3 linked regions of the Arabidopsis thaliana genome follow. The protein of the gene in region 3 interacts with the protein of the main gene of each other region in a pairwise test. Each region holds a gene or a part of one and is shown on either strand. Other genes may lie near its edges.

Region 1 (7,585 bases), 9.4 Mb from region 3:
GATTGTGTTGGAGCACTTGATGGAACTCATGTCCCGGTTCGCCCTCCAAGTCAAACTGCAGAAAAATATAAAGGTAGAAAGCTAGAACCTACAATGAATGTTCTTGCTATATGTAATTTCGATATGAAATTCATATATGCATATGTCGGTGTACCTGGTAGAGCACATGATACAAAGGTTTTGAATTATTGTGCGACGAATGAACCTATTTCCCACATCCGCCTAATGGGAAGTATTATCTTGTTGACTTCGGATATCCCACCAGGACTGGGTATCTTGGTCCACATCGTAGGATGCGATATCATCTTGGTCAGTTTGGTAGAGGAGGACCACCAGTAACTGCACGAGAGTTGTTCAACCGAAAGCATTCAGGTTTGCGATCTGTGATTGAGAGGACATTTGGAGTATGAAAAGCAAAATGGAGGATTTTAGATCGTAAGCATCCAAAATATGGTCTGACTAAGTGGATAAAGATTGTAACAGCGACAATGGCACTACACAATTTTATAAGGGATTCACATCGGGAAGATCATGATTTTTTATAGTGGCAAAGCATAGAAGAATATCATGTTGATGATGAAGAAGAAGAAGAAGAAGAAGAAGGAGAAGAAGAAGAAGGAGAGGGAGAAGAAGAAGAAGAAGAAGAAGAAGAAGGAGAAGAAGAAGAAGGAGAAGAACATGTTGCATATAAGCCTATTGGTGACAGAGCGATGGAAGCTTTACGTAACAACATCACGAACGAATGTAATAAAGGTCGCTTACCTTATTAGATATGTTTTTTTTAGTGACTTGGTTTATTATTTTAGTTAACGATTTTGTCTATCTTTTTTGCTTATAACTTGGTGTACTACTTTATTGTTATAATTATGCTTATGATTTTTCACAAATTTTTATCGTTATAATTACAAAAGAAAACTAAAAATTATAACTAGTTAAATAAAAAATGTTATGGATGTAACTATATTTAGATTACATTTTTTTTATTCAAATATAATTATAATACAAATTTATATTAAGAAAATAAGAATTAAGTTAAAACTAACGCAGCGGCGGCGAAACGAACATAGATACTTGCGGCAGCGGCAGCGTCGGCGGCATCCAAACGAACATAAATGTTGCGTCAGCGGCAGTGGCGACGAAACGAATAACAATCTGCGGTAGAGTTTCCCGCTGCCGCTGCCGCCTGCGGTGAACAAACAAACAAACTAAATAATGTCTTGTTGGATATGCAATTGAAGAAGATAGGAAACAAAATTCTTAACTTTTTTTTTTGTGTTTTTTAGATACATGGTAATTCGATGGCAACACTACAAGTTCCAAGTGACGACGTGAGGTTTTTTTTTTATAGGTTGGAGCTCGGTTTTACAGCACCAACGGAGCTCCCACGTCCCCTTCTTCAGTTGATTGAGGTAAGCGTTAATACGCCATAATTGAGGCTCTCAAAAATTGGACGTACGTATAGTTGCGGGGACACGAGTAGCGATACTTGGGTTTCACGGAACTGCAAAGTCTAGTCTTTTGAATGTTCTTGCGGGAGATTTAGTTACTGTTTTGAATGTTCTTGCGGGAGATTTAGTTACTGTGGGTGAAGTGAGAATAAGCCAGAACCTGAGGATCGGAAGGTACTCTTTTGTGGAGAAGCCCACTTGGATATATTCTTCCTAGATCTTTATCCTCCTCACCCAAGACCAAAGGAAATATATTAAACTTGATGCGGTGCGTTTGAAACTGATCAGGTTTGGTCTCCCAAGTCAACACCATTACACTTCATTTTCACGATTGTTTGAAGGACAAAAGGCTAAGGTTGTGTTAGCCTCCATCTCAATGTCCAACCCACACATTTTGCTTTGTTGACGAGCCAACTAATCACTTGGACAAGCCAACTATAACTGCCTTGGGGAATTCACTAAGTTGGTTCAAAGGAGCAGCTGTGTTGGTTAGTCACGACTCGAGACTTGTATCTTCCGATGTACATTTAAAGACTACCAAATCCAGTCAGAGGTATTCAAAAAAGTCTTATGAAATCTTGAAAGATGGGGTGAACAAAAGGATTCAATGTTGTCCCTAACTAAGATCCTTAGTCATAACAACAATGGAAAAGGATTCACAACTAACAACCAAAGAAACCAAAATCTTATTCCTCCAAAGGATCCTACAAAAACTCTTCATCATCCACAAATATTCAACGAAGATCTCCATCATTTTATCCAATGAAAAGCCAAAATAGATACAACCGCGTTTTTGTTTGTAATTGCATGATTATAAAGAGTTCTAGAGATTATCAATTATACATTATACAAACGATAACGAAAAAAAAAGAAGAAGAAGAGAGTTTTGGACTCATATAGAAGATTCAAAGAGGGTTCAAAACAAATCAAACCTGTGCATTAGCTCCAGCAACAATCTCAAGAATCTCTCCAGTAATCTTAGCTTGACGCTTTCTATTATACACCATCGAAAGCGATTTCTTGAGATCCGATGCATTATCCGAAGCACTACTCATTGCACTCATTCTAGCTGCAAGCTCACTAGCCAATGACTCCTGTAATGCCCTAAGAATCTGACTGTTAAGATACAGAGGCAACAAAGCATCAAGAATCTGAACAGGGTCTTGCTCGAATTGCAAGATCGGCGAGAAATCAGCTGTTGGTGTCCTAAAAGTCTCTCTTTCAACTGTCAATTTCCCTTCTTTTGTCGTTAACCTGAAAAACTCATCTTCCGCAGCATCCACACAGGTTCCATTAATGTCACAGATCTCTCCTTTAGGTGATAAAGGCAGTAGCGTGTGGATCACGGGTTCTGATTTGACCAAAGAGACAAACTTTGTGTACAAGAGCTCGACTTTGTCGACTTCTTCACTTATAAACAGAGAGAAGACATCATCAGCCACAGCTTGAGCTTCTTTAGCCGTAGGTAAAGTTCCGGCTTCTAGGTATTTGTCGACGGGGATGTACGGGCGACGGAGGAAATAAGAATTTCCCTTCTTGCCCACGCTAATGACTGTGTATTCAAGACCTAGACCTTTAAGCTCTTTGATTCTTGCCTCTGCTTTCTTAATGATGAAATTGTTGAATCCACCACATAATCCACGATCACCGGTGACGACAACGAGAGCTACTTTCTTAACCGGTCTGACTTTGGTTAAGGGAACATCGACATCATCGGTTTGAAGCTGTTCGTTGATGTTGTAAAGAACTTCAACTAGGGTTTCTGAGAATGGTCGTCCATTGACAACAGCTTCTTGAGCTCTCCTGACTTTAGCTGCAGCGACAAGCTTCATAGCTTCGGTGATCTTTTGAGTGTTTTTGACTGAATCGATACGGTCTCTGAGCTCACGAAGAGACGCTTGGAGTGGTGAAACAGAGGAAGCTCGTGAAGGAGGTGAGGAAGTGTTAGTTGGGCACTTGAGAACAGATCGGAATGATAAGGAAGATGAATCAGCAGAAAGAGATGGTTTTGATGAAACCCACATTGTTGTTAGATTAGAGCAAGCCATTTTTTTGTTGTTTGTTTCAGACAGTGTTTTGCTCTAACCTTATCTCTCTGTTCTTTTGATTGTATTGTATTGAAGAAGAAGAAAGAAGAGAGGAGAGATTTGAGTGGAGGGAAGAGAAGGTGATGAGATTAGGTTTGGAGATAAGGTTTTACATTTGCTATTTGGAGTCTGCAAATTGTGGGATCCTCTTTTTGTTGACGTGGCGTTGTATTAGTGGATGGTTCGATATCTTCAATGTTTTTTTTTTTTGGGGTGTGTGGTATATATCTTACTTCTTTGTAATTGTTTATCAGCCAACCAATAATTGCTTTTTTATTTTATGAGTTTTGACCCCAAAGAGAGAAAATATCTGACAAAGGATAGAAATTAGAGTAATTAGGTTTGGTTTAATTTCTTTGGTATGGTTTTGGTCCATTAGTATATATATATACCAATCAAATTACCTTACAATAGACTTAAAATGATATATATATATATATATATATATATATATATATAATTTGTAATCTGGTTTGATTTGTTAATTGCTTTTTTATTTTATGAGTTTTTGACCCCAACGAGAGAAAATATCTGACAAAGGATAGAAATTAGAGTAATTAGGTTTGGTTTAATTTCTTTGGTATGGTTTTGGTCCATTAGTATATATATATACCAATCAAATTACCTTACAAGAGACTTAAAATGATATATATATATATGTATATATATATATTTTTTAATCTGGTTTAATTTGTTAATTGCTTCAATTTTCTCCAAAATTTTTTTGATAAGCAAAACTTTATAGAGAAAAACAAATATTTGGTTATAACGAAAAAATCATATAGTGTAACAACTAACAACAATGGTTTCATTTGTTAATTGCTTCGATTTATTCCAAAAATTCCGATAAAATAATTCTACAGATCAAAACAAATATTAAAAACTAATATTTGGTTAGAAATTAGAACGAAATAATAAACATATAATAAGAATTAACTAAATTATAGATATAAAAATTTATAAAATTTTATTCATTAAATTAATTATAAGATGTTTATATATTAAAATCAATAAAATATTAATTTTATCATGAAAATTGTAGTTTTCTTTTTGGTTAAAATTATATATTATTGTATCTTCAACTACATCCGGATACATATTTTGGAATATGCTTATTGTTACAAGAACATACCGAAATCACACAGAAACCACAAAAATTCCCAACCTCTTGCTATAAACAAGTTCTTAGTTTTATTTGTTTTGTTTTATTTTCATCACCAAACATATTATTACGTACGCTCAGTTTCTCATGGATTTGTACAAACTAATATCATCTTTATTAATCACCAACAATCTAGTGACATTCTATTCATCTCTTAAGGATCAAATCGACCTATGAATCTTTGATGCTTACATGAAGTAAAGCTCATTATTCTTTCCGTCAATTATTGCATACTCGTCCACCATTTCAAATAATAGAACATTAAGGATGCTGAACATGTTGAGTCATACACCTTATTGGATTTAGGGTTATAGTAACAATCTATGTAAAATCTGCACCGTATTAATATGAACTCGTTGCTCGAGTTATAAAAGCCCAACCAAACAAAGATTACACATCACACCAGAACTGACTTTAAAATGAGTTGACCACCCTAAGTACAATGAAGATTATGATCCATCAAATTCAACATTTTCAGTTGCCTAAAAGAGGTAGATCCTTAGTGGAAAGGCAATACAAATTGCTACTCATATGTAATATGCAAGAAATGAGTAAGTTCTTTTAAGGGTTTGATTATTTTATTTTCTTTCTTTTTTATTTCTTTGAAATGGAATGATGATAATGCAACTTTCAAAATATATAAGACTTCTTTTAGGTCACAAAATTTGATGTTAGTATTTAGGTCACAAAATCGGCACCATCCACGCAATTTGTGTCAAGTCGATTATGAAATGAATCAAAACCGTGCCTAACCAGAATGTCCTGAATCGAAATCCAAAATGCAAATACCTTACTTAGACAACAAAACATTGATGTATCAATATATCTAAAACAACAATAGCTATTGAAAGGGGGGGGGGGGGTGGTGGTGGTGGTATTTATGTAAGGTACGAGCCCTCTCCATGTCAGATCCAAAATAGCGCCAAACTCAAAAAAACAATCCCGAAACTATAGATATCAGTCTTTTCATTAAAGTTATCCAATTTAACTTCAATTTCGGGTGCTTTATAGACGGTTATTTCTGGTTCACTATAGCTACCAACTTTTTGGGCATCTTCCACCATTTTTTTTTTTTTTTTTTTTAGTTCATAAATTTCCATTCAACTTTAAAACATACAATGGCAAAAGCCCAAATAAAGGCCACATGCCCAACACAGGAGAAAACAAACCTTTTCCTGCAACAAACAAAAGGGGAGACGAAACCTGCAACACTAGAAAACCAAAACAAACAGCCCTGAACTAGAACAACGAAAACCAAGTTCCTAGCAAGGACAAAGCGTTAGGTTGATGAGCCGTGCTGCGAGACAAAGGATCCAGACGAGCGCGAATGATGAGCTGGATGTCCTTCAAGATAGACTCAGTAGAACGAGAGACGCCGGAGTGGAGACGTTGGTTTCTTTCTCTCCAAATTGCATAAACACAAGAGTGAAAGGCCAGCCTGATAATGAGACAAATATTTTTTTCCCTTGAGGGAGATAAGAGCCAGTTAAGACAGTCCATTAATTGGGCAGGAGGATTAAGGTTGGTTGAGGCTGTAAAAAACCTCCACACGACACCACTAAACTGGCACTCAAAGAAGAGATGTGCTCTCGAATCGTCATGAGCATTGCAAAGAAGACACTCAGCAGGGATCGAGAGACCCCAATTCTGAAGCCTATCCCTTGTGTGCAATCTATTCCACGCCACAACCCAACAAATGAAGGCGTGCTTAGGAACATGGTTCTTAAACCAGACCGCCTTATGCCAGGGGACGGTGTGAGATTGCGGATGCAGAGCAGACCAAGTTCTTGGAGCGGAGAATCTGTTTGATGGTGCATGAAGGTCCGTTTTCCAAAGAAAGGAGTCGTCATGCTGACAGTCAAGCAAACCCTGAGCCTCCGGGAGAAGATTTTTAAGCTGAACAATGATTGGATTCCTGCTACGGCTTGATGCAATCCACCAAGACGTGCCCCTTAACGCATCCCTAACCACAGCATCAATAGGCAAACCAACTGTACGAGGGCCTAGAGGACCGATTACCTCTATAAGGGGGCCAAGGCCAATCCAATTATCATGCCAAAACTTAGCGGTGACCCCGGAACCAACCTCACAAACAATAAAGGGCCTTGCCACAACTCTGAGCTTACACATCTTCCACCATCTTGGATATCATTTCAACACCTTCAAGGACATCTTCGTCCTCTACATGAGAGGAAAGGTTCTTCACATAAGTGGAGTCGAATCCTGTAATTGTGGAGTTAAAATAGAAAATAAGACAAATAATGAAGTAGTTCATTAAAGAGTTTTATTAAAATGCGAGGAACCAAAAAGAAAAAATTTATATTTGTTTTAGTTCATAAAAGATTGAATGTGGCTGCACCAATAATCAGCTTTGGCTACATTAATTTACACAACATATATATGGACTTATATATATGAACCCATATATATATATTTATATATATGAACCCATATATATATATTTATATATATGAAAAACTCTTATTATAAAACCTAATAACATTGATTTAGATGGACTACACTAATGATAATATCTTGGGTTTTTATGTGTGCTCTTATACTATTGTCGATTGTATGATTTATTCTTCATCGGATCTAAAGCAATACTCAAAAAGGTTTATGTGTGCTCACTCAAAACCTTAACTAGGGGTTCAACAAAACAAAACAAAAAAACTCAAAGGAGATGGATTTCGAGTTGAGAAAACTTTCAAGAACATTTTCAAACTCTAGAAAAAAGGAAAGCTTCATTCTATGAATGGAGTTAAATAGAAAATAAGACATGAAATAAAGTGATTCATTAAAAAGTTTTTTTTTTCTCATAAGTGTTATACTTTATTTTAAAACTTGTGTTGTAAAGATACAACTGTGGAACCTTCCACTTACAAATC
Region 2 (7,227 bases), on a different chromosome or scaffold from region 3:
ATGTAGTTATGTGTATAGCGTTGTCCGAGATTTTTAAATTGTACTAGTATACATTTGGTTCAATTACAGTTTTATTCGATTTTTTTGAAAATGAAAACCGAATTATTATTTATATCCAAAAAAAACGAAATATTTTAATTCCAACGAAACTCAGTTTTCTACTCTTTTTAGATCGTTCTCTATTAATAATTCAGTTTAGTTCAGCTAAATGACTCTGAAATAGACATACCTATCATTAACTTTATGCACAAAAATATAAACTTTACTGGTGTCGATACTCGATACATTAACATATAACATAGTGGCCACCCAACAACATTTCGAAAGATTTTGTCTCTCAAGCTCATTGGCCGAGAATAATGTTTAATTACAAATGTAATAGACTAATACATGTTTATGTACATTATTCATTACCATTGACCAATATAAAATCGTTACAGACGAATATTTCTAATTAATTATTTATAATTTATTCATCTTTATTATTTTCGTTATAGGTTTTGTTAAGTTTTTTCGTCTTACTTCACACCCACTTATACCATCGCCTTGTCCATGAAACAATTTATGAGACCTTTAGTAGTTTAGGGCAAAGGCAAACCGCGTGAGCATATTAAATTATAGTAACCATGTCAACGTGAAATCTATTTTTCTTTTTATAAAAGGTCACCAAATTATAGAGAGATGTTCAAATCCACTACTTTGTACCTTAGAAATGTGCAATCATATTGCAGGGATGTTCATTGTTCAATCCCATCAACTTGTGGCTATATCCTCGTCTTGTCTTTTCACCGTGGTCGTATTATAGAATTTTGAAACTAAAGATATAGATAGAATAGCACTCCTTTTCTTATGTAGTCATTGTTTGTTTTTTATATCGATTAATCTTTCATTTTCCCAAAATGTACTATAACTAAAGAAAGATAACTTGTTTACATTACCAACAATAGGAATGAGACTATTTGTAACTAACATGTTAGGTCTTTATCTGAGAAAATTCTGACTTTGACCTCTTTAGTTCTACCGGTTGCTAAAAGAAAATTAATTGACCTACATAGTTTTTGTTTTAGAAACAAAAAATTCTTTTAACCTTTAGCAAAACAAAATTCCATTGTGTTGTTGTTAATGGAGTGATCAGTGATTCATTAAAAGATCGGAACAAAAGTTCTAGTACAACAAGAGGGCCCAAAAAGCCCAAGATTAGAATTTAAAGCCCAACAGTTTTAAAAATAAAAGATAAAAAATTTCGGATTGTCCCCGAAGTTATTCCTTTTGCTGCTCTTGACTTGAAAGTTATAAACCCTCACGATTCATCCTTAAACCCTAAGCCTAAAGCAGAAACGCAGAAGCCCTGATAATGGCGGATCCGATGAACCATAGCACCGGGCATCAACAACAGCAGAAGTACCGTCAGTACAATCCTTACCAACAAGTCAATCTTCCGTACCGTAAGCTCTACGAACTCCCAACTTCTCCTGAGTTTCTCTTCGAAGAAGAAGCTACGAAAAAACGCTTAACATGGGGAGAGAACCTCACCTTCTTCACCGGTTGGGGTTATTGCACTGGATCTGTTCTCGGAGCCTTCAAGGGTACAATTGCGGGGATGCGAGCCGCCGAACGAGGCGAATCCCTAAAGATCCGAACTAATCGGATTTTGAACTCCGGTGGACTCGTTGCAAGACGCGGCGGGAATTGCTTAGGATCCGTAGGGTTGATGTTTGCTGCTATGGAGAGCGGTGTTACGTATATGAGAGACGGAGACGACGGTTCGTTGACAACTGTGATCGCTGGTTTAGCCACTGGTGTGCTTTACAGAGCTGCTTCTGGACCTAGATCCGCTGTGGTTGCCGGAGCTGTCGGAGGAGTTGCGGCTTTGGCTGCAGTTGCTGGAAGACGCATCGTCAAGCGATTCGTTCCAATCTAATGAAAGTTTCTCAATCTCTCAAGGTTAGGGTTTAAGAACTAGTTTAAAGGAGGGGCTTTTAGATAGTGAATCATTGGTACTGGATTTAGGGCTTATGAATTCAATTTCCACTGTATAAAAGTTGACATTTTTATTGATCTAATTGCTCAATCCGACTCAACTTTTTGCTGATTTTGTCGAATTCACGAAATTGAAATGATCTCACATAAAAACTCAATTGATAATTTTACAAAGGAGAAAAATTTGTCAATCAAAGAAGAAGAGAAAGATTGAACTTTTAACCTCACTTGGTCATAACTTCAACGCCATTCTTTCCAGCGATAATGACAGAAGTAGCCATTCCGAGAAACAGACCATGCTCCACCACTCCTTGAAACTTCCCAATCTCTTTAGCCGCAGCGAATCCATCCTTCAAAGGAGTCTTAAAATACAAATCAATAATGTAATTACTGTTATCAGTCACATAAGGCTTGCCATCACCATCAACTCTAAGCTTTGATTCACATCCAAATTCCTTGAAGAGGTCTTGCAATCTAATCAAATTAAAGTTCCAGCAGAATTGAACAACTTCCACCGGCATAGCTAATCCACTTCCACCGAGTCCTGTAACGAGTTTGGTATCATCAGCCACAACAATAAACTTGTCAGCCACAGCTTCCACCATTTTCTCACGGAGAAGAGCACCTCCACGACCTTTGACTAAATCAAGATTCGGATCTACCTCGTCTGCTCCGTCAATAGCGAGATCGATTCTCGGATGTGTATCTAACCCAACAAGAGGAATCCCTAACGACCGTGCTTGTTCCTCCGTTCGTTTCGACGTTGGGATACCGACAATATCGTAGAGTTCACCGGAAGAGAGTAGTTTCCCGATCTGATCAACAGCGAAAGCTGCGGTGGATCCGGTTCCGAGCCCTAGAACCATCCCAGGTTTAATTGCCTCCACAGCTTTCTCCGCCGCGAGCTTCTTCAAATCGTCCTGTGAAAGCGCGACGGATTGAGCCTTGACGGAGAATGAAACGGAGGTTCGAGGAGAAGAGCCAGTGCTGCGTAGGGCAATAGAAGGAGTGCGTAGCGTAAGGTGAGAAGAGGAAACGAAGGATAAGGAAGCCATTGGAGAGAGAGGATTGAGAATGGTTGGAGAAGAAATAAAATGAAATCGAAAGGTTTGGTTTTTGACTTTTGAGTGGAAGAGGAAGGTTTAGTGGCAAGTTATAGAGTTTTGTAGTTGGTTTGAGGGTAGTATTGGAATACTAGTTTTAAGGTTGTTGTATTTGGGTTGGTGAAGATAATAACCTGCTAAACCAATCAGAGTGTTAAATATACGATGTCGTTTTTGTTTCTTTGAGAACAGAGTTATATAAAAACCTTTTTTGGTTTGGTTTCGTGGAGAGTCTAATTATTTTCTTCCACTTTCTCGATCTTTGAGATTTCTTTCAAAGGAAGAAAAAAAAAAAAACTCGCGATGTCCGCCGAATCAGCTAGCCAAATTCCTAAGGGACAGGTTAGTTAACGAAACTTTGTTGGTTTCGATGGTTTTCTTCAATGAGGAATTCAATTCTTGGGTGGGAAGATTATCTAGGGTTCTTATCTGTTGTTCGAATCTTGATTTGAAGTTTTCTGATGTGTCTATATAGTTAATCGATTCTATCTAAGTTTTGGTTGTTGTGTTTGATTATCAGGTTGATCTACTAGATTTTATTGACTGGTCTGGTGTTGAATGTCTTAACCAAAGCTCAAGTCACTCTTTGCCCAATGCTCTCAAGCAGGTTTGTTATTCTCTTATGTTCCATATCTTTATGTAGTTGTATGTCTGTATACAAGTTTTTGTTATTGGTGAGTTCTTGAAACTGTTTGTGTTTGCTATGATTGTCTATCTGTAAAAAACTTATGTGTGAGTTTATGAGATTTGATATAGATAATTGAGTACAAACTTAGGTTTTCGTGGAGTGATATTGCGTGCCAGCCTGCTTTTGAATTTATGATTACCTGTTTCTATTGGTGTTTTATGACCTGAGAAGGATTTACTTGTTCGTGTAGGGATATAGAGAAGATGAAGGTTTAAACTTAGAGAGTGATGCTGATGAACAACTTCTCATCTATATTCCTTTTAACCAAGTTATCAAACTACATTCCTTTGCTATCAAAGGCCCTGAAGAGGAAGGTAAATTGATGTTCTATATTGAAAGATAAGCATATAGTTGTTTGTTATTTTAGTCTTGCCTACAAGAATTACTTCTTTTTACTGAACTGGAGATGGGATTTTGATATGTGGGGGCTGTTACTTGTTAGCCAGTGAGATTTTAACTTTGTTTGATTCTAACTTTTCTTCAGGTCCTAAAACTGTAAAGTTTTTCTCAAACAAAGAGCACATGTGCTTCAGGTAATGTGAATCGTTTCTAATTTCTACCTAACAATATGATTTATCTCGATAAAAGCGCCGACTCACATCGTGTCTAATGAATAAAACAGCAATGTCAATGATTTTCCTCCAAGCGACACCGCTGAACTAACTGAAGAAAACCTTAAGGTATGATCTTTCTGAAATCTGACTTTATTCATTTTGTGACATATTCTGGTGATCTATCTATCTGTATTGAGACCTCTGTTCAAATCCATTTACAGGGAAAACCGGTGGTCCTAAAGTACGTAAAGTTTCAGAATGTTCGTAGGTAAGGATTTACCATGTTCTGTGTCTTTGTATATATATATTATAATATTAAGCGCAATCACAGCTCGTTCTAACGATATCTATTTAATTCAAGCTTGACGATCTTCATCGAAGCCAACCAATCAGGTTCTGAGGTCACCAAGGTTCAGAAGATTGCTCTCTATGGCTCAACGTAAGTCTCTGAAATCTTTCTGTACAAGTCTGTTACAAAGATACTCTGCCTAAAGAGAATTTTGTTCTTAGCTTTTCATATTTCTGAAATCTTTAACTTGCAAATTTATTGATCTTTACACCATTCTGTGCAAATAACAGGGTGGAGACGACTGATATGAAGGGATTGAAAAAGATTGAAGATCACTGAGCATACAAAAGTGTTTTAATCATATGATCGTATATCAGTTTGATTTCTAGTGTTCTATTGCGTTTCATCGTTTGTTTTTTACTTACTTTTTTTTGAATTAAAATAGACCAGAACTTGTGATTGCCTATTCGCAGGAATTCGAAACGAAGGATAAGTCAATTTGAAAATCATCTTGCAATTCTTAACAGTTTGGGCAGGACTCAACTTTTATCTTTGTGTGTTCATATTCTTGAGGGGGAAAAGGGCGTTTATTTATGAGGCAGTTATTACACAAGTAAAATATGAATAATGATAGAACTAGGCATCAAATAGTTATTAGTCTTAAACTCTTAATTAAACATAGATCCAATATGAAATCTTGATTTATAATAACTATTAGAAATTTGGAATTAGGATTAAAAATCTTACTGAGCATTTTTATTGGGATTATTTTCTTTCTTTGTCTGAAAACAATTAATTAATTTTTGGTTTTGGGCTATATCATTTTTTGGTTTTGGGCTTGAAAGCCCATTTAGGGTTTTCCGGAGTATCTTAATTCTTAAGCGAAACACTCTTTAGGGGTTTCGAAAGAAGAGAAAGAAACAGAGCGAAAAAACGAAAATGGCGGCGAACGGAGTAGCGACGGCGGGACGTCAGGTATCAGAGAAAGAAGCTGATATCCAGATGATGTTATCAGCCGATGTTCACCTTGGTACCAAAAACTGCAACTATCAGATGGAGCGTTATGTCTTCAAAAGACGCGACGACGGTAAACTATCTCATCTTCATCCAAATTTCATTGTACATGTAATTCTATATAGAAGCAACGTTTCCACATTCATCTACACGTAGCTTACGAATTGATAGTTTCTCCAGTTTCCATAGTGTTGGGTATTCATCTGTAATTCTCGGTTTCATAGAGTTTTGTGATGTTTTTGGATCTTTTTTTTGTTTATGAAGTTTGGATTTTTTTTTATTTGGTCAGGTATTTACATAATCAATCTTGGAAAGACATGGGACAAGCTTCAGATGGCTGCTAGGGTTATTGTAGCAATCGAAAACCCAAAAGACATAATTGTTCAATCAGCCAGGCCTTATGGACAAAGAGCTGTCTTGAAGTTTGCTCAGTACACTGGTGTTAATGCGATTGCTGGAAGACACACTCCTGGTACTTTCACTAACCAAATGCAGACTTCTTTCAGTGAGCCTAGGTTGTTGATTCTCACCGACCCAAGAACCGACCATCAGGTATATTGAATGTGTTTTACCTCATCAGTTGTGATTTAACTGTGTAGGTTTTTGGTTTTGCTAATGCGGTTTTGGTTTGTGTTTGCCAGCCAATCAAGGAAGGTGCTTTGGGAAACATTCCAACTATTGCCTTCTGTGACACGGATTCTCCAATGGGATTTGTCGACATTGGTATTCCTGCTAACAACAAGGGAAAACACAGCATTGGTTGCTTGTTCTGGCTTTTGGCTCGTATGGTTCTCCAAATGCGTGGAACCATTCTCGCAGCTCAGAAATGGGATGTCATGGTAAACTCTAGAAATACTATCAGGACTTGTGTTTCTCCAACACCAGACAAAGATCTTGACTTGTTTCTGTTGTGTAGGTGGATCTGTTTTTCTACAGGGAGCCCGAAGAAGCAAAGCAAGAGGGTGATGAAGAAGCTGAAGTACAGGCCGATTATGGAATGGTTGGTGGTGACCAGTGGACCACTGCTCAAATATCTGATGCTGCATGGTCTGGTGAAGTCGAACAGCCAATTTCTGCTGCACCTGCAGTTGGCGGTTAGTTTCTTCTTCATCATAGTCTCTCGGAATCTAAACACCAAATGTTCTAATGTTTTTGCTGTTTCCTTTTTGCAGTTACCGTTGCTGCTGGATGGGAGGCTGCTTCTGTTCCAGCTGCTGGTTGGGAGTAAAAGCTCTCTTATTAGTTTAGCTCGAACTCGGTTAGATGTAGACCTGATTTTTTTGTTTTCGAGATTTGGAGAGGATTAGGACCATATTAGCTTGCTTTACTTCTTGTCTCTTGAGAATTGCGACCATGAGATTAGGTGCATTTTTGCCGGTATTTCCAAGTTTCAACCATATAACGGTATTTTATCGTTGATTCTTTCATTGAATTGAACATTGGTCTTCTATTTAAGTCATATTATTCATTGATATTGCAAAAAAAATCTGAATGTTATGAATATTATGCATAATAGAATCTCCAACATGAAATCTCTCACGAAAGCTCTCAAGAGAACAACATTGAATCGACATGTAAAGTGTTTAATGTCGCAGTATC
Region 3 (7,984 bases):
CCTGACCTATTCATCATATTTTTTTATTTTTTTTATTTTTGTCTAATTGAAATCTAAATCGGAGGGGAAAAAATCAACAAAAAGAATTTTATACGAGTACATTAATTCTTGCAAATGTTAAATTATCCGTCTTATGATTTATACAAATAAGAATTGAATTAAGGGAGAAACTGATAAATACTTGTTCCTAACAAAGTTTAATAGATGTGTTGAGAAAACACACTTGTCCGTCGGTATAGACACTTATTCACCAATTTAGAACAATATGTAGATGTAGTTAGCTAGTTTATTAACTATAGTTTTTCTATTTAGCTAATTGATTTTATTTAGCATTTACCACTTTTTTTGGCATTGTTGATTACTATCTAAAAGTTGACTAAACAAAATACGTGTTTAACGTTTTTTTAGCTGTCATAATATAGTAATATACAATTCGAGTTGGTATAATAAATATCTGATCGCATCTAAAAGGAAATAGTGAATGGAACGACTTACAAAGAAGTATAATAATCCAACTATTTTTAAAATATCTCCTCCATGCATCCAGATCTGAGATTTGAAAATCTTCTCGGGAACCGGATCGGAGTGAAATTAGTTATACAATTTACAACTATATATAAATTTTAAGAATTTGATTTAAGAAAACATATGTCAATGAAGTCGTAACAGCTAGTCACACGACAGTAAAACGAACAACCTAAACGACGACCAGTTACAGCAATAGTAAAACGAACAATATATAGTAAAATCTGATCGAAGTCGCTAACCGTATATTACGGGTCGCAGTTGCTAGCGTGCGAGTTTACATATAGAATACAATAAAATTGCATGTTTGGTTAAGCTCTCTCCCAACTAACTATTGCTAAAAAAGAAAGAAGCTAAGAAGAACTAAGAGATCAGCAAGTAATGGGGAGCTTAAAGCTGAGCACATTTGCAATAGTCGTTTGTCTCTCCATCCTCCTCATATCTCCTATAGGTACGTAAAAAAGACCAAAATATTTTGATCCAAAGATCTAAAATAAATACATGTTTATGAAATATTGTCTCTTTGTATGGATCATACAGAAGTGAATGGATGGGGAAAGTGTGACTTACGAAAGGGTTTATGTAGACTCGCGGACACGATCTCTACTTGCGATGTACCATGCAGGGCAGTGGACAGCAAGTATCATGGAGGCGAATGCTTAAATGTTGGTGGTGGTCAAGGGATATGTTGGTGCTGCCGTGATTATGATGCTGCAAAGAGCGGTGCTGAAAAGGAAAGCATGTGATTGCAGATGATAGAAAACGACGTCACTTAATTTGTGTGTCTGTGTGTTTTGCTATTTGCATGTTTATGATTTCATCTCACATCCATGTTTGAGTGTTTGCCTTCTACTTTGGGGGTATCAAAATAAAGCTTTGGCTTTTGCAATAAAACTAGCTGTCTAAATTGTGTCGTTGTTTTGTTTCTTTGTTCCTTCACTTTAAACTTTTTCAGTTTTTTTTTTATAAAAAAAAATTCAAACACAAATACGTAATGATGTAGACATGTATTGTGTTACGTTTGTGTTCGTTATAATTTTTGTAATTTTTAGGTGTCATATACTGATAAAATGCCAAAAGTAGTCTGATATATATGGACTATAGTTGCTTTTTTTAGTGGTTGTCATCTTAGTCTTAGATCCATAAATTTATTTAAATTATTATACGAAGAAGGTCGGATGATGAAAGTTACTATTATTATGATAGTGTTTTAGATAATACGAATACAATAATAGTAATCAATGTATATCTTGTTTGACCGTGAAAAGTTTTAGACCCAAGAAATGGACCCTGTTTGTTAGGTGGTGGCAGAAATACTTAATTCCTTTCCAAAAATAAAACACGATTATTTTTCTTTTATACGTTTGCATAAAATTACAAAATTACAAAAGAGAACTAGTCCTTGTTGTTATATGCTGTAATTCTAATGGACCATTCTTATTTTTATTTTGTACTTAACATGATAAAATTTATAAAAATACTGTAAAACATTAATGAGTGAAGAAGATTCGGGAGATACACTTTGCATGGCTGCACATGATATGTCTTAAAACAAGTGACTTTTAAGACAAACCACAATTATTTTCTCTTTTTTCAGTAGTTTGGCAGATTACAAATTTATTGCGAATTTATCATCTAAAAGACTAAAATATAGTAATAGAAAATAAAAAAAATCATCTGCAAACCTAAACAAAAGAATGTATTTTTGACAACAAACTATATTATTACTAACGGTAGTTAGAGCGGACAAATACGTCAGCGATTTAGTCCGCTCTATTTTTAAAATGGGCAATAAACCGTTACGAACTAATTATATTTGTATGTAAAAACAGTCCGTAGTTAATCTGCAGTGGTTTTTTTTTTCTTTTTTAAATTCGCACCTATACAAATATGAATGATAAATAAAAAACAGTTCAAACCGCAAACGAATTTGTCCGCCTTAACCGTTGCAACCATTCAAATCCTATATAGCAAATATGTGCTACAATGATAAAGAGAGACATAGAAGAAAAAGAAAGTAATAAAACTCAGTTTACAGATTATTCTTCATTGTTATCATTATTATTGTCTCCTCCACTTTCAGTTTTGGCTCTGATTCATGCTCTCCGCATCAAACCCTCCACCAAACTGTACATAACAAAACACAGTTTCAAACTTTCAGTTATATGAGAAATTTGGTCAATTTAGGTTTCTTATGTTCTTGTCTGAATTGAGTTTTTCCTTTACCTGATGGTCTCTAAATAAATTACAGAAAGAACAAACACATTCAAAATAGGGCTTCAGATATTGAGAAACTCTATGGCATATGCTAGAAACCTCGAGTACTATACTAACAAGTATCCCATACCATACTAATAGAACCATTTCCAGTGACTGAGTCCCTCAAAAAAAAAATGATAGGCATCAAGCACAGAGTGAACCAATTAGACAACAAAATGACAGTCATCATCTCGATTCTTATCGAAAGACCCGACGTTGCCGGGATAATTCTCATGTAACTCTTGCATCGGTACATAGTTTACTTTCTAAATCAAACAGAAGAGAATGAAATTCTAAAACACTTGAATTTTGTGAAAATCTGAGACACATTTCATAGGCCATAGACGAGATGTTCTGTAGTAGTTAAAAACATTATATTCCTTATCATCGAGTTAATAACAACGATTAAGAAGTAAACCTACAACCACACTATATATTTGTCTCACTTAACACAACGACAAGAGAGAGACATATATTTTGACCAAGTTCAAGGATTCAAGAGAGGGCTTCCTTCTTTGATAAGCACAAAGACACTTCCACCGTCTCCTCTAGAGATCCGAATGTCTTTGTCTAGATAAGTCGTGAGTAGCCAAGACTGCGCATTGTCCGCCGGCAAAGAGAATTTCAACGGTGGTTGGCTTGATATGGTTCTAGCCACAGACGAGGCTGTGTCTTGCACCGAGGTAAGTAACCCTCTGATCGGGTTAAGATCAATCTTTTGACCAAGAACCTCTACATATTCCGGTATCTCAATAGAATCCGTTAGCTGAGGCGTCCCAATTACGCCTTGCTCAAACTTAATCTGCAAGAAAAATGAAATCCAAAACATTACTGAAAACGTTTCAAGATGTTGATATCAGATCATGGTCGATGAATGGTCAATTTACCTGGACGCGTTTAGGGCTTCGGATTTCGAATTTAGCGTTGGTGCTAATCGAGTTTGTACCTAAAGGACCAGCGAAACGAACAGAGTTCTGGACGGTGAAGTTATCTGAATCAATGGTTTGAGAGATCTCATCGACTTTTATTAACGGTACGATTCCTCGTGATAGCAACGGGAACAAATTCACGAACGATGTGTAGCTGCAAAAGAGGTTTAACCAAATCAAAAGCAGCACGAGATCTACCATTTGAATCCAGAATCCTACGAATGATGCTATCTACAGGACTACAAGAGAAAGTTTTCACCGGAAAAAAACTTACGCGAGGATCCATTTGCCGTTGAGAAGGAAAAGAGCTTCCGTCGGAGCTGGAGTAGGGTTCTTAGACTCGAGCTGTGTGATTAGATCTCCGATTTCAGCTCTGGTTTCGCTCGATGCGCTTAAACCTCGATCTGTTCCGTACAACGAATCCACGAGCGATCTCTTTAGCCGCTCCGTCTCTTCCACGTCTTCAATTGCTTCCTCCGCCGCCAATAGAGCTGATCCTATCTCTCCCGTATCTGTGGCTCGGACTTTGAAAACTCTACGGGGGGAAACAGCGATTCCTCCGGTGGAGATCATCGGGCGGTGAATAATTGAGGTCACCGGTACCAGAAACGGAGGCTTGGAGATAGATTTAGAGTTCGGTGAGATTGAAACTCTGGTTTGGCAGCTAAATTGGGTGGACAATTGTACCGTCGCCATTTTTTTTTGTTTCTTCGACTAAAATTTCGAAGCTAGTGAACAAGAATAGACCTGTACTGATTTTATAGACATTGTTACGTAAATGTTTTGCTTTCATCAACTACCAAACTCACACCAAGAGGGATAATATCGACTATTCCACATAGATCATGTACATTCGACTACGATACTGCCACGTGAGAGACAAGATCAACGGCCAAGAATCCACTCGACGGTGTGAGGCGAGCATTGTTTAGGCTAGATAAAATCCAAAATAACGGTTTACTGGGCTTGAATAGACTAAATGGGCCTCGTGAACAAAAAACCTCTTGTATTCTTTTTTGCATTTACATCATCTTCTTCAATAACCAAAAGAAACGTACAAAGTACACAAACCGTAGTTAAAACTTTGGAAACGTATCTAGGGATCACCTCACTTACTCACGTGGATCGAGAACTTTTAGCCGTCCGATCGTTTTCAGAAAATATCGAGTATCTCAATGATCGGACGGTTACAAAGAGGACACGATCCACGGTTCAGCCACAATTCTCTAGAGCACACTCTGCAAAAAGTATGACCACATGGAATAAACGCAGCGCCTTTCTTTCTTCCCATACACACGCAACACACCGAATCATTACCCGTTAACGTCCCAATAGACGCCGTTAATATCTCCGTTTCTTTCCCGTCGTCATCAACGATTTTCTCCGCCGTCTCTTCCAACAATCTCATCAACGAAACTCTCCTCGGCGTCATATCTGCCTCCGCCTCCGTCGATTCTCCACGGTTATACCTCTCCGCTTCTAACGCTGTCGCGAGATTCATACCCGTACCCGATCCATGATCCGATTCGAGAACGAGTCCGGTTTCAATTTGTAACTCTTCGATTTCGTCGTCTCTTGAGGTTGGACTGTGAAGAGTGGTGTTGTTAGTTAGACGGAGATTCCAGGTTGGACCACAGCATCCGATGCATTTGAATCTCAACCGTTCTTTTAACGTCCGTTTCCTTCTGGTGAGATCGTGACCGCTCATCTGTCGTCGGAGCAAATCAAGAAACGTCGTCGTCGTGCGGTGTGTTTCCGTCATCCTCTGACTCGTTCCGAGATCGAGTTCACTCATCATCGACTCGGTAACGGAAACTCTAAACAAATTCTCAGATAGTGAAACAGAATCACCAGTGAAATAGACAGATTAGCTCCGCCATGAGAGAGCCCTGTGAGGGAGAGAGAGAAACTGTTTAGATCTTTGGGTCTCGCAGTGATGATGACATTATAAAGGAAGTTTTCAGAGTTTTTTTTTTCTCTTCACATTTCTTTATTTTTTTTGTTAAAGTTGCTTCCGAATATTGATTTCCCGCGAATTAAAATTACTTTATACAGTTTTACTAATTTTTAACAGTTATAACGATTCTGTTTGACTGGTATTCCACACAAAATTACAGTAGTAGTGGAATCGAGTATATTTGTAAAATATTTTTCCAACTTGAGTATATAACTTTCAATTTTTAAAAACCAATTTTTAATAAGTTACTTACATCATTGTTTAAAACTTAAAAGGTTAATCAACTTATAATTATGTGTAATTTACCGAGAAATGATGTACAGTGTACGCAATGGGGGCAACTATAATGTTAGTTCTTCTGAATTTCTGATAGAAAGAGAAAAAATAAATTTACTTAAGAGGAAAAATTTAATGCTGTTTCTGTAACTGTACGACTTAGTTTTAAAATTAAATAAAAAAGTCTTCAAGGTCTCGAATAGAAACAAAATCGAATTAGTACTTAAGTTTATACTCCCTCCGTTTCATAATATAAGTTGTTTTATACCAAATTTTTTGTTTTATAATATAAGTTGTTTTCAAGTTTCTATGCAAATTATATATTATTTTAATACTTTATGATTATTTATATTCTACAGTTTTTTTTATAATTGGTTGAACATTTTAAAAATAAATATTCTTAATATACGTATTTTTAGTTAAAACAACTTATATTGTGAAACGAAGGGAATATTACCAACAAAAAAGGTCCTCCATCGGAGTTCAAACCCTATTAAAGATTAAACAAATCATCAATCGAATAAAGGTACTATTAATGTAACGCTAACTCTGAAATAAAAGCGACGATCAAAGTATTCGAATTTGATTACTGCTAATTATACTAGACTGATGAATTCTCTTACCTGTGCTATAACCGGAACATGGTTTTTTGGTAAAACCTTTCTGGCGGGAAAACATTTTTGTTATTAAACCCGCGGAAAATCATTTTAAAAAGTGAAAGGCAAAGAAGAGACAAAAAAAAAAAAAAAAAAAGAAGAAAAATTAAAGAAGGCGCATGAATCAAGGCTTTTCCCACGTGAAATGTTCGCATAGACGACGTCGTCTTTGCGCCACACTCTCCCCAACAAAACCAATAAAAATAAAAGTGTGGGATATAGAGATTCTAAACGCTAATACCAATATGCTTTTTGAGAGAATGATACATTCAATGATTTTGTACTTTTAAACATTTTTTTTACTCCTGTGAAATAAGAATTGAAGAAACCGACAATGCAACCACAAAGGCTAGTAGTATGGATAAAATGGTCTACAACGACTTAAGCTCATCAAAGTACATTTACATCATTAGGGTATTTGATTCTCTCACACACTAGCACAACGATGGGAATTTCACATTATTCCTTTATTCCCAAGTATATGGGATTATATCTATTGTTCATGAGCTGATACAAATAATCTTTTTTAGTTTACTTTCTAATTTATTAACTTGTAATGGATTTCTTGAGGCAGTCTACAATACCTTCGCAATGAGCCTCCTCAGGAACAACACACCCTGATTCTTCTTCAGTATCATCATCTTCTAAAATGGAGTGTGGAGAACGCAGACTGCCTAGAGTCTGACAAGCTCTCATTGTCTTGCAGTGTTCTGCTTCATCATCTCTTATGTTCACAAACACATCGTATAGATTTTCTGCCCAACCGTAATCACAAAACAACAAAAACGTTATATAGATTCTTATTTTAACATCAAAGTAAGTCACAAACTGTGAATAATGCTTCCTCCATACAAACATAAGACAGAATCTCAGTCATTTATAGAGCGCAGAATCATAACCATGGATAAATCATAAACTTTTTTTTAGCATTTTGTGGTTCGACGGAATCAGAGATGGAAAGAACTAAACGGATATGAAATAGATTTGCTACCTATTACTGGTCTTCGAGTATTGGGAGTTCTTGATGTTTGGAACTCATCTGCAGACAATACAGGGCCAGTTTAAAAGACTACTAATCATAGGTAAAAACATCTCTACAACTCTGGAGGATATTGATAATTCCTGGAAAGACAAACTCACCAAATAAGTACAAGTCACCTCCCGTATAGTATTTTACTGCGATATCCGGTGCAGGCATATTCTTCAACTCCTCTGTTTAGGGAAACCAAAAAAAAATGAAGCACAACAATTCAGAATGTAAAGATCGTTGAAGAATTTTGTGTAATATTTCAAAGCAATAACTCCATTAACAACTTTAGTTCTAATGTAAATGGTACACAGAATGGTGGAGAAAGAAGAAAAAACCATTGGTAACCAACCTC

Evidence for each region.
Region 1: the proteins of AT4G22240 (region 3) and ATPC1 interact in a two-hybrid assay, tested with the Arabidopsis thaliana proteins (one study listed by BioGRID).
Region 2: the proteins of AT4G22240 (region 3) and EMB3119 interact in a two-hybrid assay, tested with the Arabidopsis thaliana proteins (one study listed by BioGRID).

What each region holds. Positions count from the first base shown.
Region 1 is NC_003075.7:2,348,387-2,355,971, forward strand, and holds ATPC1 (ATPase, F1 complex, gamma subunit protein), read right to left. Parts: upstream 3,633-7,585; 5' UTR 3,497-3,632; coding exon 2,375-3,496; 3' UTR 2,112-2,374; downstream 1-2,111. Other genes in the region: AT4G04650 (RNA-directed DNA polymerase (reverse transcriptase)-related family protein), read right to left, coding at 5,603-5,726, 5,953-6,827. UniProt on the Arabidopsis thaliana protein: Produces ATP from ADP in the presence of a proton gradient across the membrane. The gamma chain is believed to be important in regulating ATPase activity and the flow of protons through the CF(0) complex.
Region 2 is NC_003074.8:1,309,173-1,316,399, reverse strand, and holds EMB3119 (Ribose 5-phosphate isomerase, type A protein), read right to left. Parts: upstream 3,104-7,227; 5' UTR 3,036-3,103; coding exon 2,205-3,035; 3' UTR 2,112-2,204; downstream 1-2,111. Other genes in the region: TIM23-3 (translocase inner membrane subunit 23-3), read left to right, coding at 1,355-1,921; AT3G04780 (PITH domain protein (DUF1000)), read left to right, coding at 3,387-3,425, 3,604-3,690, 3,962-4,085, 4,256-4,304, 4,394-4,451, 4,547-4,593, 4,687-4,764, 4,905-4,953; RPSAb (40s ribosomal protein SA B), read left to right, coding at 5,554-5,701, 5,918-6,180, 6,270-6,722, 6,801-6,935. UniProt on the Arabidopsis thaliana protein: Catalyzes the reversible conversion of ribose-5-phosphate to ribulose 5-phosphate.
Region 3 is NC_003075.7:11,762,819-11,770,802, forward strand, and holds AT4G22240 (Plastid-lipid associated protein PAP / fibrillin family protein), read right to left. Parts: upstream 4,605-7,984; 5' UTR 4,410-4,604; coding exon 3,988-4,409; intron 3,868-3,987; coding exon 3,672-3,867; intron 3,587-3,671; coding exon 3,272-3,586; 3' UTR 2,985-3,271; downstream 1-2,984. Other genes in the region: AT4G22235 (defensin-like protein), read left to right, coding at 907-976, 1,066-1,271; AT4G22250 (RING/U-box superfamily protein), read right to left, coding at 4,867-5,511; IM (Alternative oxidase family protein), read right to left, coding at 7,149-7,357, 7,594-7,641, 7,743-7,814, 7,982-7,984. UniProt on the Arabidopsis thaliana protein: Probably involved in light/cold stress-related jasmonate (JA) biosynthesis.